Linked DNA regions of Cricetulus griseus. The protein of the gene in region 3 purifies or fractionates together with the protein of the main gene of each other region. This does not show direct contact. Links are inferred from orthologs where the notes say so. Each region holds a gene or a part of one and is shown on either strand. Other genes may lie near its edges. The genes, in order: Epc2, Actl6a and Ing3.

The links.
Region 1: the proteins of Ing3 (region 3) and Epc2 purify together in Homo sapiens (affinity purification with mass spectrometry; 3 studies listed by BioGRID and IntAct, with this or other methods). This does not show direct contact. The link is inferred for Cricetulus griseus from reciprocal best matches to the Homo sapiens genes ING3 and EPC2.
Region 2: the proteins of Ing3 (region 3) and Actl6a purify together in Homo sapiens (affinity purification with western blotting; 3 studies listed by BioGRID and IntAct, with this or other methods). This does not show direct contact. The link is inferred for Cricetulus griseus from reciprocal best matches to the Homo sapiens genes ING3 and ACTL6A.

The regions. Positions count from the first base shown.
Region 1 is NC_048599.1:124,775,246-124,778,900, reverse strand, and holds part of Epc2 (enhancer of polycomb homolog 2), read left to right. Parts: intron 1-2,792; coding exon 2,793-2,941; intron 2,942-3,655. UniProt on the Homo sapiens protein: May play a role in transcription or DNA repair.
Region 2 is NW_023276806.1:116,638,876-116,642,530, reverse strand, and holds part of Actl6a (actin-like protein 6A), read left to right. Parts: intron 1-138; coding exon 139-236; intron 237-2,436; coding exon 2,437-2,531; intron 2,532-2,781; coding exon 2,782-2,888; intron 2,889-2,985; coding exon 2,986-3,075; intron 3,076-3,655.
Region 3 is NW_023276806.1:205,244,219-205,247,873, forward strand, and holds part of Ing3 (inhibitor of growth protein 3), read right to left. Parts: intron 2,643-3,655; coding exon 2,571-2,642; intron 1,839-2,570; coding exon 1,719-1,838; intron 1,433-1,718; coding exon 1,275-1,432; intron 783-1,274; coding exon 589-782; intron 1-588. UniProt on the Homo sapiens protein: Component of the NuA4 histone acetyltransferase (HAT) complex which is involved in transcriptional activation of select genes principally by acetylation of nucleosomal histones H4 and H2A.

The DNA.
Region 1 (3,655 bases), on a different chromosome or scaffold from region 3:
CACACACACACACCGTGACACACTTCTTCCAACAAGGCCACACCTTCTAATAGTGCCACTCCTTTGCAGATCACCACAGTCTTCTCTTATGCTCCATATCATGTATTAATACTCCCCTCTGGAGCTGGAGAGATGGCTCAGAGGTTAAGAGCACCAACTGCTCTTCCAGAGGTCCTGAGTTCAATTCCCAGCAACCACATGGTGGCTTACAACCATCCGTAATGAGACCTGGTGCCTTCTTCTGGTGTGCAGATATATATAGAAGCAGAATGTTGTATACATAATAAATAAATAAAATCTTTAAAAAAATACTCCCCTCTAAGATCTATTCATCCTCTTTCTATTTTCATAACCACACATATACATATCTGTGCACATACAAATTTAAATTGAGATTCTATAAATGGGGGAAAATGTAGTATTTGTCTTTCTGAGTCTTGGCTTAGTTTGTATAACATAATGATCTCCAATTATCCATTTAAAATAAATTTCATTTTTCTAGCTGAAAGAATTTCCACTATGTATTTGTACTTTTTCTTTATCCATTCATTACATCTTTTTCTTTAGATGTCAAAACTTAAAAAAAATCAACAAAAACAGTTTAAACCACCATTTGGCAACCAACAATGCTAATAATTATCTCAGGTGAAAGAACCATTAAACTAATGAGGGATATTTTAATGACAAACAATGCTCATATAATTATACAGCATGCTAGGTTAATTTAAAAGGGAAAATATTTTAGTAGGTAAACCCAATAGACACCATCTTAATTAAGTAATCAGCAGTGATAGGACAAATTGTGTTTTCTAACTCTTGATAGGGTGTGAGTGTCATTTCTGTGGTAGTTGTGTCAAAAACATACAACCTAAATATAATCATGGGAAAACATTGAAACTCAAATTGAAGAATACACTACAAAAATAAATACTCCTCATTTAAAAAATGGAATCATGATGAACACAGAAAAATAGAACTTTTCCAAATAATGGAGTGTTAGAAAATAACAACTAGAAACAGTGTTTAATCCTGAGTCAGACTTGCAAAATAATTAATTTTGAGATTAAAAATACTGTCTCACCAATATTCTATTGATCTTAGTTTCCAGATTTTGATCACTGTGCTATAATTGTGTGAAAGCATCATTGTCTTTGTAAAACCAGATTAGAATATTTAGGGACATTTGTTCATCTCAAATTTGGAAAATACTACCAAATTTGTATATTTGTGTATATTTATATACCTAACTAGAGACAAAAAGCTAGTTAAACTTCAAACCTTTGGGAGATCTGGTTAGATCTATGGAAAGCATTTTTGCTATTTTTTGGTAACTTTGTCTGAAATTATTTCAAAATAAGTCATGTTTTGAAGAGTAGAGCAGACACAAAATATAGATGTAGCTTCATGAATAGTCATCTTTTGATTCTTTGTGTCATATATATGTATCTGGGAAGCACATATAGTATTAGCAGAATAGAAAGCATTTTAATGTTTGCTGTTGATCATGTTGATTTTTTTTTCAGTTACAAGTTATTGTTTCCTGTCTACCCTCCAAAATTGCTTTTAACTGTACTCCACCTACTATCTTTTGTCACAGAGTGCTAATGCAGTGAAGGGGGGATAAAGGTGAATTTTCTTCTGGCAAAATAAGATAATATCTTAGCATTTAGAAATACTCCATATGCAGTAACATAAAGGATTATGATTAACACTATTTCCAAGTGGATAAAAGGAAAAATAAAACTCAAGGCTTTTATATTTTCATTCGTAATCTATTATGAAACCTTAGACATACTTCAGATTCTTTCTGATATTACATTCAATTGTTAATTCAAGAATGAAAAGATGGTTTAAGTGTAGGTCAATCTGACAGTTGAGAAGTACTAAAGTTCTGTGTTTAAATGTGACTCTGTATAAACACTGGGGACATTTGACTTAAAGCACACGTCATTGGTGATTTTATATTCTGATGAATGCTGCTTATTACAACAGAGTCATCTTTTATTTGAAGTTATGTTTTATGCTTACAAGTAAGAAGTTAGCAATAATCTGAAGTCTAAAGATTTTGCTAGATCTCTTTCTCCCCCTACAATGAGGTCTATGTTGAAGCATGAGAATCCCATTTCTTGAAATACTCAATATTCTGTTTTCAGTTTTCTGAGTTGCCAGAAGTGAAGTTTTGTTATTGTTCTTGATTATATGTATTGCTGGGAGCTTTTAGCTCTCACCTGCAGATTTGGATGGACATGGCTAGACACTCTTGTGGTCTATTTTTTCCATTCCTTGATCTTGGTAGAGGTGTTTTTTATCATTGGGTAGCACATTACTGCAGAAGGAGGACTTTATAATTTTCATATACTAGGTTTTGTGTCAGGTGGATTTTTTTTCTTTTTTTTTTCTTTTTTTTTTTTTTTTTTTTTTTTGGTTTTTGGGACAGGGTTTCTCTGTGTAGCTTTGGAGCCGATCCTGGCACTTGCTCTGGAGACCAGGCTGGCCTCCAATTCACAGAGATCCGCCTGCCTCTGCCTCCCGAGTGCTGGGATTAAAGGCATGTGCCACCAACGCCCGGCAGGTGGATTTTTTTCTACATTGAAATTATTCTTTCTGTACCATTAGTTATCAAAAATTAAGTTAAACAGATGAATTCTTGTGGAATTGCTATCTGGATATTTGCTCATTTCTTTTAATAATTTAAAACTTATAGGATAATTGAGATTTAGTAAGAGGTTGTTAAATGAAACTGGAAACATGAATAATTTCATTATTCTCTAAAATTGTTATTATTTCAAAAGAACCGTAAGAATGATGAAGCCTCTTATGAAAAGATGTTGAAGCTGAGACGGGAGTTCAGTAGAGCCATAACAATTTTGGAAATGATTAAGAGAAGAGAGAAAACCAAACGGGAATTATTGCACTTAACCCTGGAAGTCGTGGAGAAAAGGTAACATTGTGACTGTCCATACTAGGGCTATGTTAGCCAGGCTTTGTGACCATAGATAGAGATTATGTAATAAAATTTCATTTCTACCTTATAAATTTTGTCGTTGCTAGTTAATTTTAAAATTAGATTGTTTTGGTTTAGAATTTATTTGGGGAGATTGGAGTGTAGAGAATTGATCTTTTTAGATATTGGCAGAATCATTGTACTTGTACTTTGTACTTTTCTTAAAATCTAGGAATTATCTTGCCCATTTCTCTGTATGTTAGTTTTTGTTAAATGAATGGTTAAAAGGCAAAATTTCCTGTTTCTATTCCTCAGAATTATGATCTATGAGTATTTTCCTGCATAATTAAATAGACTGAAGTTCCATTAGGTTTTAGGGAATTTTGTGTGATTGCTGAAGTAAACATTCTAAGCAATATTCCCAGTGCTTGATAAAATACTTGAGAAATTTGTGTGTTATATGCCTTAGGCATTTTTAAAGTTCTTGATCATTGTGTTTTTATCAGAATCTCAAATATGAACTTGGATTTTGTAACTTTTTTTGTTTTTTAACAGTAATCTGCTATCCTAAAGCTAGGCTTGGTGATACATGCCTATAATTTCAGCAGTTGAGGTTGCACAGGGAGATCAGGAGTTGAAGCAAGTTTGAGGCCACCTGGACACTTGAGGCTGTCTCATCCCTTCCCAACTGTCAAAATTGATAGTTCTATT
Region 2 (3,655 bases), about 89 Mb from region 3:
CTTAATTTATGATTTATTTTAAAAAAGGGCATTCTTAACATTGTTTTTTTGCCAATATGGCTCTGTAATATAGCATGAACTAGCCAGTGCTTTAATTACTACACATTGAATAACTGGGGTCCTTCCTCCCTTCTGCAGTGGAACACCAGGGCAAAGAGAGAGAAACTGACAGAGTTGATGTTCGAACACTACAGCATCCCTGCATTCTTCCTTTGCAAAACTGCAGTTTTGACGGCGTATCCTTAAACAATGTGACCGCTTTTCTCTGTGATTGTAAGATATTAGTGAGGATGTGTTTTCCTTTTTTTCTAGCTTTTTACCTATCTTTGAGTATTTTTAAGTTTTTTTCCCTGTTGTTGGTATATGTACACAGTGCTGGGTTTCATAATCACAATCTCCTTCAAATATATCATGTACCTGGACCATATTCACCCGACTCCTTAGATTCCCCTGCATGCTCTAATAGTCTCCCTACTTTCTTTTTCCACTCTGCCATCCAGGGTGGGTGCATATGCATGCACACAAATGCATGTGTTTTTAATGTATCTGTGAAGAATACTTGGATTTGCAAATACCGTTGTACATGTAGTATCTGTTTGCCTTGTCTCATGTAATTTTTTTCTTCAGTTTTTGTGCAAACAGCATTATTTCATTCCTCCCGGGTAATCAAATCTCCCATGTGTGTGTAGACCAAGTTCTCTTCATGTTGATGGACACCTAGGCTGACTTTATGACTTGGCTGTTGTAAGTAGTGCTATCATGAGTGTGAGTATGCAGGTATCTTGTGCTGTGTTGACTTAGTTCTTTTGGCATAGACCTAGTAGGTCTAAGTGGATACTAAGTAACTTTGTAATTTTTTGAGGACCCTCTTTACTAATTTTCATAGTGGCTGGACTAATTTACAAACTGGCAGTGAGTTCTCCTTCCCAACATCCTCATCGACTTCTGCTGTCTGTTCTTTTGCTGATAGCCATTCTGATTCAGGTGAGATGAAATTTCATTGTGGTTTTAATTTGTATTTTTATGGTAGATTTAAGGGTGTTGAGCATTTTCTCTTGGTTATTTGCCATTGGTAATTCATCTTTTAAGAGCTTTGTATTCATGCCATTAGGCTATTATTGATTAGCCTGCTTGTTTTTGGTCTAGTGTTTTGAGTTAGGTATGTATTCAGATAGTAATCCTGTGTCTGATGTGTATCCAGCAGATTGTCTGCAATTTCTGTGGGTAGTATGTGCTTCTGGAGTCTTTCTAAAATCATTTTGTGCTGTTAGGATGGTTTTCTGGGCTCCTTTTCTCTACTTTGAGGCTGTGCTGAACTTGTTTTGTGCCCACCATGTTCTCTTGACTCTTGTATCTCCTTCTTGCTCTTTCTCCATCCACATTACACCCCCTCCCCCATTATTGCTGAAGTCCCAGGAATAGGCTGGGTGGTCTGTTCTTCATTTTTCCAGGACATGCCAAGCTTTTCTTTCTGCAGATAAACTGACCTCTGTTTTACTAAACAAGATACCCTTTAGGGCAGAGATGGCTTGGGTTAGTTTTATGAATCCTTTGTCTTTAAGGAACGTTAGTGGCAGCCTTGTTGTATCCTCCACCCCCACCCATCTCTGTCGTTTACCTCCTCTGAAATGTTACTAGTCACCAGACTCGGGAGGACGTAATAGAAGTTGAGGAACCAGTGAAAGGCCCAACTCATAAACTTGCATATGGGTTGTCGTGTGTAGTTGGGGGAAATGAACCTGCCTTTTTCAGCTGTTGAGTCCACCTGGAATTGCTTGTTGGGCTTACTGGGGTAGAGGCTGGAACCACCAGCTAGCTGCCATATCACTGCAGTGCTTCTCCAAGCTCTCTACCCAAGGTTCTCACAGCCTCTTGCTGTTCTTGTCAAGTTTGTAAATTTTGTTTAAAAAAATTTTCTCAATTTGTTATAAGCCTTTTGATCAATTGTAGAAGTTTTCAATATGCTCGTTTTGACCCGCTTAATTAAAAAAGGGTTCTGCATAGAAACTGCTCTGGGAGTCCTCCTTGTGGAAGTTCATTTTCAAGATAGATTAATTACTGACACCCATTTTTCTCCCTAGACAGCTTTTTTTTTTTTTTTTTAATTCTTTTATTAGTTCAAATTAGGAACAAGCCTGCTTCACATGTTGATCCCTCCCCCTTCTTTCTCCCCTCCCCACCAACATCCCACTGCCCCTAGCTATCCCCCCTCCACTCCCCAGGCAGGGTAACGCCCCCAAAAGGGGCTCCCCAAAGTCTACCACATCATCCTGGGCCAGGCCTAGGCCCTTCCCCATGTACTAGACAAGCTTTTATACAATGCAGGTGATAAAGTATGTTTAAAGAACTGGCTTGAACATTACAAGAGCCAGCCTGTCATAATCAGCACTATCCTTGGAGCCTCGATGCTTATTTTTCCTTAATGCTTTAAACTAGATTTGCTAATGGTCGTTCTACTGGACTGATTTTGGACAGTGGAGCCACCCACACCACTGCAATTCCAGTCCACGATGGCTATGTCCTTCAACAAGGTAACTACTTAATGAGGGCACAAGATTACTTTCCCTGTCATGAGGACACAGATAATAAAGATAGATCAGGAATTCTATTGGAGCCATTCATTCCCAAGTGAATATGTTTTAAGTGAATGCATGGCTTTATGCTTTGAGAGGATAGTTTGGATAATTCTACTCAAAGAAACCTACACATATGCCAACACATTCACAGTCCCAAGGAATTCAGACTTTTGGCATCTTCAGCTTTGTTTGATTTGATTCTCAGGCATTGTGAAATCCCCTCTTGCTGGAGACTTCATTACCATGCAGTGCAGAGAACTCTTCCAGGAAATGAATATAGAGCTCATTCCTCCATATATGATTGCATCAAAAGTAAGCAGCATGAGAAGTTTCTTAGTGAGCCCTGCCTTGTGCTTCTGCTCCTGTGTGGGGAAGCCTCTTAGAAAGCATGTGCTCTTGGTGTTCTCAGGAGGCTGTTCGGGAAGGCTCTCCAGCCAACTGGAAAAGAAAAGAGAAATTGCCCCAGGTTACAAGGTCTTGGCACAATTACATGTGCAATGTGAGTAACCCCTATTGTCTTTATAGAGTGTTGGTTCTAAGTTACATGTTTTTAACATTTGACAAAATGAATACCTTAGGGGTGGGGAGCACTTGCCATATTATCAAAGCAGTCCCTACAGACAAATATAGCAGCTTGAATACATGGAAGAGGTTTTGGTTTTAGGGTAGAAATAGTTTTAGCACACTATTTTATAATAGTGTGCTATTATAGCACACTATAGCATTTTTAAGATGCTTTTAACTGAGCATGAGTTTGAGGCCAGCCTGGTCTACAGAGTGAATTCCAGGACAGTCAGGGATACACAGAGAAATTCTAAAAACAAAAAAGAAGATGCTTTTAGTTCATGTCAAACTTAGTATAACTTAGGTATGATTTCTTCTCTAGCATTAATTAGACATTCAGGAGTATGTCTCATTGCTTCAACAATGAGTCAATGAGACTTTTTACTGAAAATCTGTGTCTGAATATGTAGACCTATGTGGGTGAGAGGTTGGTATATTTGCCATTCCATAGATTCTAATTTCTAGGAGTAAAGGAATATGAAAGCCATAATTGACTAAGTGTATTCTGAGAGCAT
Region 3 (3,655 bases):
TATGTAGATCAGGCCGGCCTTGAATTTAAAGTAATCCTCCTGCCTCTGCATTCCAAGTACTAGGCACCAACCACTCCTGGCTTGAATTTCAGTTGTATAAATACCTGCTGTATCTATTACCTTAGATGAACATGGCAAAGTTTCATTTCCACAGTTCACACAATCACCCTAAGTCTCTCACATACCAAATCTAGGGACATTTTCATGTAATCAGTTTTCAGGACATCAGCAAAAATTTAGATGTTTTACTGTTAATCAAAAGGAAAAACTTCCTGGAATACAATTTGCATTTTATATTAATTAACCATGAAATACCTAAAAATGGAAACAGTACCATAAAATGGTTTATCTTGAACAAAAGAAAGTAAAAAAAAAGTCACTTATATGCAAAGTCCAAAAAAATTACAAATGACTTTAACACTTAAACAACTGCCAGCCTTCAAGGTCAGGCAGTGCCACCAGCCATCTGCCCACGCCAGCAGTCTGCTTGGGTCACTGCACCCTGCCTTACTTAATTCCTAAAGGCCCAGCTGAGGCTCCATGCAAACAGCACTGAGCAAAGGCACACACTTCCACTCCAAAACTTACTTGCTCTTCCTGCCACTTCTCGAGTCAGCTGCTGAGGAACTGGCATTCTGGGTTAAGGTTGTCATGAGTGCCGATGAGGAGGAATAGCCAGCTGTTTCTCTGGGCATTGAAAATTCCTTTCCCAGCTGAAAGTCATTATTCTTAAACGCTTCATAACTGGCTTTTAAACTTGATGTTCTTCGTCCTTCTTTCATCTTAAGTAGACAGGCATTGACAGCATTAATATATGTAAATATGTATTTTCTCTTTTAAGCATTACAAGTTATGGTTACTTAAGTCATTTCATGTAAAGATGCTAAATCATTTTTATGCTAAGTTGAGAAAAACTATGGGAAATGGAACTTCTTAACTTGCACTGTGTGCAAACTACAGAAATGAGCTAAATGCAGCCACCACAAATCCAGCAGAAGCCTAACTTTGCAGAAAGAACAGTCACTGTCCTCACAAAGAGAACCAGGCTACTTGAGCACTGACTGGGAGAAGGTGGGCGTGTGATACCCACAGTGCACTCTCTACCCAACAACCCCTTGCATTATTAATAAAACAACACCCAGCCTAAATGTCAACTTCAAACCGAAACCAGGCAATGTCTTCAACCCGTCACTTCGAACCTAGTGGTTCCTATTGGGGGTTGCCAAGAACAGGAGCAAAAGGTAACATTTGCCTCTAAACCTTTGACTTTTCACCTGTGCTGTTGCTTGCACTGCTTGAGCTGCTGCCATGGTGATTGCCCCTGCACCAGTCCCTGAAGATAATGAACCAATGTTATAGGATGCCAGGGGTTGGGATGAATTCACATTGTAAGCATTGTTGGAGGAAGCTGTGGAATTATTATTTCGGCAACCTGTAAAGAGGTAAAGAAATAAAAATGGGGGCTGAGAACACAATGTTGCGGGTTTAAAATACATTATTTTTCAGCATATATAATCATGAAATTTAAATTCTTCAGGCACTTTAGGGATTGAGTCAATGGAAAAAACGGAAGCCAAATTTCCTTTTCTATTCTCCATCCACATGCAGACTTTAGCCAGGTAACACAGGTATGAATAATAACCCTGAGTGCTTCTCTGTGCCCTTACTCCAACACAAACAAAACAAGGGAATTACCACACTGAAGAGCACCAACTTACCCAGTGTGCTCTCCTTAGAAGCATCAGACGTGAGGGTGGACAGGAGAGCTTCAGATTTGAACTTCTTTTCGGGGATGTGATCTGTTGCTGTATGGTGAGAAGTTGGATTATATTTCCTTTCTGAATAAAAAGAAAGAATTCACACAGTTTTAAACTTTAGAGGACTACAAACTGGGCATAATACTTCCACCTCTTTATAAACCATAATTCTGATCTAGGTTCCCCATGAAATGGGCCATTATGCTCAGCAAGGAGGGGGCAAGCAAACAGCCCACAGCACATGTTTCACTTAGAGAGCAGACACTTCAAGGACTTTAGAAATTTATAGGAGCAAAATACTAAAGACAACCTATGATGCACTATGGTTTCACATATACCATGAGAGGAAGTCTATTTTAATATATTGCCTGTCATTCAGAATAGCTTTCAATTTACCTTTCTTTCCTCTTGTCCAAAAAAAAAAGACAGCAACACCATCAACTAGCCATGTATCCAACAATTCTTTTACTCACTAACTCATTGGTAGTGAGACTTTATTACATGCTAAACATTAGGCTAAGCATTTAGAGGCGAGGCTGACTGAGACATAGCCATATGAAGAAATATAATTCAGGTCTGTAGGAAGCAGAGAGATGCCGCTGGTGTTTCTATATATTCTGTCTCTGTATTTATAGAAGAGACTGCCTGTTCTCAGATTAAATGCACTTTGCTTAAATCGCAAAGTCAACTGTGACAAAAATGTATTTTTTAAAAAGGGAAAGGGAAGGATACTTCTCAGTTGGTTATGTGGAGCTAATAAAAGACATATACACAACATTAATGAGCTTTAAATTGTACTTGAATCAAACTTACTTTCCACAGGAGTGTGTGAATGAGCGTGGTGATTGTTCACTGGCTGAGAAGGAGTATCTAATTCCAAAGATCCTAGAGAGAGGGGCACAGAGACAAACAAGGATTAAATGTCATCATAGGACTTTACACATCAACCAGCCATAAACAATGTGTCCTCTCACAGATGACAGCCACGCTCTGGTGCATACCATATCATTTTAGCTAGGCATGAAGAGGGTCACAACCTTCAATTTTATCCTGAACAACCTTCTCTCTAAGCAGTCAGACTCATCTTTCAGTGTTCACCTTAGGTCCACAAGAGCTTAAGTCTACTTGAGTGCTAATGTCTACTTAGGGAATCTTTGATTCTGGGTACCATATAAAGAGGTGTGATGGCAAGAGCTAAAAAATTCAATCTAGTAACAGAGCTGAAGACCTTTCAATAGGTAATCCTGAAGGTCTAGGTATGGGGTATCAATGCATACTAAGAAATCCCTTCAACCATGAATACCAAATGAGATACCGACAACTCCAGAAAAGAACTTAGGGACTTTGCTTGCAAAAAGTAGAGGGTAGAATTCCTAATACCAAACTTGAAAATACTTCTAAAGAAATTTTCTGAGTTTATTCACGATTCCTTGAGTTAAAATCATGTCAGGGGGCAGAATGGAGCAGTTTTTTGTGATGTGATTTGGTTCCATTTCATGTGTATGTGTCCTTGGAGTCAATGTTTTATTAACCTTTCTGCAGCAGTGAGTAGGCAGGCATGGGTTATTGGTATTCACCACCAGCATTTCCAAAAGAAAAACAAAACACTTCAAAGGCAGTTACACAATGTTTCATTTTGTTCTCTAACACCTATTATCCTCAGATAGGTTTCCTCCAGAATAAAGGTATCCCCACTAGAGAAGATAACTGTGTGAAGTGATGATCTACTTTTACATTTAAAACTGCCATTCTCATTAACAGACACATGCCTGCTTCTCCAGATGAGCCTCTCGTGTCTGGTAAACATAGAGCTTAGGTACCTTGCAGTCCAGAAAACCACTATCTGCTGTAGACATAGGAACAAGTTCTGGCTGGTAAATGTACCAGGGTACATGGTC